Linked DNA regions of Arabidopsis thaliana. The protein of the gene in region 1 interacts with the protein of each later gene in a pairwise test. Each region holds a gene or a part of one and is shown on either strand. Other genes may lie near its edges.

Region 1 (3,414 bases):
TGGGAAGATGATTTTAGAGTCTCCCGCGGAGGAGAGAAGACGAGAGAGGAAGAAGAAAACTTCTTGGGTTCCGGGCCGACCCGGAAAATTAACCGGGTTTGCAGTTTATAATTTTTCATTTTATATGCGTTTGGTTGCAATTCGCATACGGTTCGGTTCAATTTAATTTGATTTGGTTTTGTATAATTTTTTGTTAAACTCTTAACTTTGTAGTTATATAACCGATTTGACAAATGCCCGAAACCGAAAACCCAAAAAAAATACCCGAATGCCCGATACCGAAAACCCAAAAAATACCTGAATCGATTCAGATCCGATTTTTAAAAATACGTCGAGTTCTAAACCTAATTACCCAAAAAAAAACAGAACCAAATCTAATACCTGTAAATATTCGAATATAAATATACACTTTAAAATATTAGTTATATTTATACTTATAATACTCCAAATATCCAAAATTACAATTATAAATTGAATATATTAGATAGTTTTGAGTAATTCGGATATATTTGGATAAAATGTAACCAATGTTATAGTTTTTAAAGGTAATTTGAATATTTTTGGATACACTTGGTTATATATAGGTAAAACGTAATTAATGTATTTTTGACTATCATGTGTTTTGGGTAGATTTAAGTATATATATAGATAAAACATCCAAATTTGACCCGAAACTAAAATATAGTTATTTTGGGTATTTTTAATTCTCGATTAAAATACATGAACCCCAATCCGCACCGAATTTTTGAAATATCGAATGAATCTCGACTCTCTTACCCACGCAGACCCAAAACCCAAAAAGGAACTTATCGGGTTTGGGTATCCGAATGCCAAGGCTTGTGGGGTTAATTCCCAAAGATTTAAACATACCAATGTTGTTTGACCACATTGTCTGTCTAGAGTCCCTTACGTGACAAACAATGCATTGATTTACCCTCTCACTAAGACTTTGATAATTTGTATCCAAACTTTCAAATCTCAATGTCGTCTCCAATGTGGCTTTTGAATGTCAGACTGGTATTTTTTGGATCATTTGGCCTATTTCGTGGAGTTTGTTCTCTTGATCGTGTGGCAAAGACGATAAAGTTGGTTGGGGTTGAGAACTGCATTTCTCTTGAGCCCTTGGTTGAAAACCTTAGTTCTCACTTTCTTAGTTAAAGTTATTGCCCTCGTGATTGTAACGTAAATCCTTTTTGAGTGCAAGGTTTTGTTAGGTAAGCTTGATATTGAGGCTTTTGTTTGGTAGAATTGAAAAGCCTAGGCTTGTAAGGTCCAGTTTCAGCCAAACGATTGAGCTCGCTGATTCGGAAACCATTTACCAAGTCAGACACTATAAATTAGACTTCAAATTTTCAAGATTTAAATATTAATTTGTGTATAATAATGCATGTTTATCAAATAGAAAAACAAGAAAAGATATTAACAACTTAAAACAATATTTTGATTTGGATAATACTTTAACATGTGTAAACGTTTTGATTTGCAACCTCTTTTGTAACATACACAATCACTTATCAGGACAATCATCCATTTATACACAAAGACAATTATAAAAGAAAGGAAAAAAATTCATTGCATTACCAAATTAAAATATTTATAACTAACACAAATCTTTGTATTTTATTATCTATCCACAAAATTAAAGACAAAACCAGTAATTACAAGTGGATGTTACAAATGTAAAAATAAATTACTAACTTTGCCATTTGATCTCATAATAATGCCACACAGACTCACTCATTAAAACAACCTTTTTGTAACATAAAGAAATTACTCATTAGGAAAATCATCCATTTATACACAAGACAATTATAAAAAGTAAAGAAAGATAAATCATTGCATTACCAAATTAAGATTTTTATAACTTACACATATCTTTGTATTTTATTATCTATCCATAAAATTAAAGGCAAGCCGAGTAATTACAAATGTATGTTACAAAATATAAAAATAAATTACCAACTTTGCAAGTTGATCTCATAATAATGCCACACCAGACTCAAGCATGTATATATAAACAAACACTTTCTCTCCACCAAATATTCCAACAAAGAAAAGCAACTAAAACCCTCCATACAAAAAAAACTATGATGTCGAAGAAGAAAGAAAGCATCGGACGACAAAAAATTCCAATGGTAAAAATAAAGAAAGAGAGCCACCGGCAAGTCACATTCTCCAAACGCAGAGCCGGTCTCTTCAAGAAAGCTAGTGAGCTTTGCACTTTGTGTGGTGCAGAGATTGGGATCATCGTGTTTTCTCCCGCGAAAAAGCCTTTCTCATTCGGACATCCAAGTGTTGAATCTGTATTGGATCGCTACGTGTCTCGAAACAATATGTCCTTAGCTCAGTCGCAGCAACTGCAAGGAAGCCCTGCAGCGAGCTGCGAACTGAATATGCAGTTAACGCATATTTTGAGCGAGGTAGAAGAAGAGAAGAAGAAGGGTCAAGCGATGGAAGAGATGAGAAAAGAGAGTGTGAGGCGGTCGATGATTAATTGGTGGGAAAAGCCAGTAGAGGAGATGAATATGGTTCAGTTACAGGAAATGAAGTATGCATTGGAGGAGTTGAGGAAGACGGTTGTGACAAACATGGCGTCGTTTAATGAGGCCAAAGACGATGTGTTTGGTTTCTTGGACAACAAAGTGACAGTCCCTCCTTACGTGAACATGCCTTCTGGTCCCTCAAATATTTATAATTTTGCCAATGGAAATGGTTGTTTCTGATTCATAATAATGCTTTTGGTTTTTGTGTTTTTTGGTAGCAAATAACTTGTAGGCTAGTATCTTACTAGCTGTATTTTCTTTCTTCAAATTATTTTTTGTTTCTATAGCACCATTGAGAAAAGATAAATGGATTCATGCCAACTTGTCAAGGGATCAAATCTTTATTAATGTTATCAGGTTGAACTACTTGAATGGTAAATGCATATATAGCTTAAAGTTAAGATTTACTTACAAGACTCGCATGTTAGAGGTTTTTTTTTAACGGCCGAAAAATCAATGAAGAAAGATAACAAATCAGGCAATACAGCCAAAAACAGAGCGTAATCACTCAAAAAAACAGAGACACAACGAGCGTCACTCCTCCTCAATGCGGTTATGCAGCCAAGCCAAACCTCCCGTTGATAGGTACGAGTTCAAACGTATTGAAATTAAACTTGATTTTGGGTTAAGCTAAATCATGGGTTTATAATCCAATATTCTATATTGGACTAAACCCAAAGTTAAGCCTAAGTTCTAGATTTTTCTATAAGCATCATAAAAATCATCACCTCCTTAAAGTAGGAGTTTGTAAGATAAAAAAATGTAGATATATTAGTAGAGTTATCGAGATGATGGTAGAATAATCTAGAAACTTTTGTAAGCTCACCCCATCATTTGTAATTAAGTTCAACAAGAGAATAGAAAGAAAGTT
Region 2 (3,524 bases), on another chromosome or scaffold:
GAGAAAGCATCCAAGGAAATCAAGCAGTTGCAAGTAAAATTGTCATCTATTACAGAGAGACTAAAGAAAGCAGAGACTGAGTCAAAAGAGAAAGAGAAGAAACTCGAAACTGCTGAAACACATGTTACGGCGTTACAGAAACAGTCTGCAGAGCTGCTTCTAGAGTATGATAGATTGCTAGAAGATAACCAACATCTCCAAAGCCAAATCTTGGGGAAAACCAAGAGCTGATGTTAAGATTGTCTGGTGTTATTTAACAATGAGAGAGTTTATAGAGTATTGTAGTTGCAGGAATTCTTGCAACATTTTTGTTTTTAGTGTATGGATATTGAATGGTTCTTGTTTCTTCTCAAGTCTTTGGAATGTTTTTGTGACGACAATTATATCAAAATCAGCGTTGAGTATGACAAAGAAAGAGAGCTAAGATAGTTAATTTGTAACTAAAACCCGTTTGGTAAGAGCTTTTCCAAGCTTGGTTGACATATTTGTGGGGAAAAACACATATCACATGGAAAAATAAACAACAAAAATAAAAGTATCACACATCTACGACTTTAAAAGGCATAATTATTGCAAAACTATAATAGTAAAGATAACACAGTCACAAACTCACAACTTTGAGAACATAAACTGTAATGCAATTTATTACACACAAAAAAACTTAAAGCTGATCATAATTTCACTTATCAATTCATCCAAATTATTGTAATATAACATTTAACAAAAACCTAATGGAACCATGTTTTATTGGTAATACTTGAACTAGTAACAGGGATGATGCTGCTTGAGTTGGCGGCATCAAGAGCGTTGGAAGATTCGTCATGGATCTGATGTTGGTGCTCCTGTGGCTGGTGATGGATGTGGTTGTGGTGGTTATCATCCATGAATTGATATCCCATTTGCTCTGTCTGATACCTCATTTGCTCAGGATGGTTCATCATTTCCATAAACCATTCTTGATTTTGATTATAGTTCTGATTTAAATTCAGATTTAGATTTTGAGGTTGCTCATTAAGTCCAACATGTTGAGCCGCCGGATGACGAAATTGTTGAAGATCAATAGGATTAACAAAATTCGCGACAGCCGCAAATGAGGAAGAAGAACCCACCTCATAAATTGTAGTGGTGGGAGCTGTTGTAGCGACCAAATTCGGCATTGGTATATTCCCTTCAGAAGCAGCTACCGCAACAGAAGAAGATTCACCAATCTCCGTACCAGAATTTCGTAAAATCTCAATCCTGCGATTAACATCTTTAAGATATTGCTCAATCATATAACCCAAATCATTAAGATCCACAATATTCAAATGAAACATCTCCATGTTTCCAATCAAACATTGGAACATGACTTCAGTCATCTCTAGCTCCCTACTATCCTTTCTTTGTCTCCTCAAAGTTTCTGTCGCTTTCGCGATTCTTTGTTTGAGAAAACCCTCTTGATCTACCATCTTTTTGTGTTGATCCATCTCTGGGAGTGTCCTAAATTCTGAAACCACCCTTTGCACACCGGAATTTGATGGCCACACTTCAGGGTTGGTATCATACGGGCTGTAGATGATCGCACATGCAGTGATGCCACAAAGAGTCGAGAGTTCGTGTACCTTCTTCATCAAACCCTTCTTTCTTTTTTTGAAAGTCGCTTTTCTTGAAGAATCGTTGGAAATGTAAGCAAGTTTCACTTTCTTTCTTGTCATTGAAAAAATATTTCTCTTTGTTTTTTCTTTTTTATTTGTGTATTTTGTTTTGAGATTGTGAATATGTACTGTTATATATATATAGTAATGAAAGGGTACAAAATTTTGTTTCTTTTAGTAAGTGACATTTAATTTTAGATTACAGGTAGTCAAAAAATATAAAATATTTACTGCTAATAAAATTGTGTTATATAGGGTATCTTTTCTTTTATTACAAGAAAAAAATCTAAACGTCCAAATCAAGCTTAATGCATGAACATTATATTAAAAAATCTGAATGGATTTTAGATACAGATGAAAACCGTTTTTCATTTTACATGTATTAGGACTACTGGTTTGACATATGAAAATACTATTGTCCAAAAGTCATAGATAAATATTGTATTAATCTAATATGAGAATGATAATATGAAAACAATAAAATAGAATAAACAATTTTACTTTTTAACAACAATAATCAAGAAATATCAATCTAGTAATGTTATTTAATCAAAATGCATTTAGTACAATTATTTAAAAATATAATTTCAAATATTGTGATAACTAGTAGGATTTGGTATTATAAGATAGTCAAAGATTCTGTTTCAATATATTTTTGTGATTTTTTTCTTTACTGGAAACAATGAATATAGGTTATTGAATGATCTAAGCATCATAGAGTTAATCTAAAAAAATCGTTTCATAAATCTCATGCTTTTGCATAGATAGGAATTTTACAATACACACTAGATTTTAACCCGTGGTATACCGCGGGACGATTTATTTTTTAAAAGTAATATATATTAAAATTTGCAAATTTTATTTTTATAAAATATTTATATTTTATAGTTTATAATTGTTATTAAGTAACGCTATACCACGAATCCATGAGACAATTGTTAAAAAACTGAAGTTGTAACCCCTATTAAAACAACATATTAATAATATTTTAAAATTTTATAAAAATTGATTCAAATACATCCACCATATAACCCAATTCCAAAATAAAACCTGTTCTATAATTTATTTACCCGTCCTGTGATTTTTCTTTTAAAGTAATAATTTTTAAAATTTAAGAATTCTTTTTTATATATATAAGTTTTGCAAATTGTATCATTCTCTAATACATTTATAGTTTATAATTTAATTTTATATATAGTAACATTATACATACCACATAACATTTTTGGTTTTATATAATTTTTTCTAAATTAGGATGATTTGATATGTTTAATATTAGTGGTCTTAAGAAATAATAAATTAAAGATTTAACCCGTATTGAAACGGTGGATTAATTATATTTTACTTTTTTATTAATGTTGATTCAAAAACCCGTCACTCCAAATCCGTCTTGCCAAAAAGCCATTTATTTTATTAATATTAATTTTACTAATGATATGACTCTGAATTATAATTTAAATATTTTAGCTGATAACATAGGAGTAGACCATATTTATTTAATAGGGGAATGTACCATATGACCCGAATGCATTTTTACCCAAATCCACCAAAAAAGTTTTGCAAAAATACTATAAAGATAAGAAACGATAGTCGGTTTTGATAGGTATAAGATTAGCAAATATATTAGTTAGTTTAAATTAGTTAAAGAATACAAACTTAAAAGGAATATTACACTTTATTCGAATATAGTATCAAAACTTATATAACACAGAGATTTGATAATTTTTTAATTGTTGAATACTTTTTTTGTGCTAATTTTTATGTGATTAAGATTTAATTGATTTTGTATATAAAATATTAAATTGTTTTACGAACTTATTTGTTTATAATTTGGTAACAGATAAATATTTGAGTATTCAGTATATTTTGCTTCAGTTTAGGAAATCTTTG

Evidence for each region. Proteins that work in one complex are often made in the same cells at the same time.
Region 2: the proteins of AGL61 (region 1) and AGL80 interact in binary tests that used the Arabidopsis thaliana proteins (3 or more experiments, as listed by UniProt).

What each region holds. Positions count from the first base shown.
Region 1 is NC_003071.7:10,579,154-10,582,567, forward strand, and holds AGL61 (AGAMOUS-like 61), read left to right. Parts: upstream 1-1,915; 5' UTR 1,916-1,928; coding exon 1,929-2,723; 3' UTR 2,724-2,862; downstream 2,863-3,414. Other genes in the region: AT2G24830 (zinc finger (CCCH-type) family protein / D111/G-patch domain-containing protein), read right to left, coding at 1-1. UniProt on the Arabidopsis thaliana protein: Probable transcription factor. Controls central cell differentiation during female gametophyte development.
Region 2 is NC_003076.8:19,738,097-19,741,620, forward strand, and holds AGL80 (AGAMOUS-like 80), read right to left. Parts: upstream 1,746-3,524; 5' UTR 1,695-1,745; coding exon 729-1,694; 3' UTR 550-728; downstream 1-549. Other genes in the region: AT5G48660 (B-cell receptor-associated protein 31-like protein), read left to right, coding at 1-231. UniProt on the Arabidopsis thaliana protein: Probable transcription factor. Controls central cell differentiation during female gametophyte development. Required for the expression of DEMETER and DD46, but not for the expression of FIS2.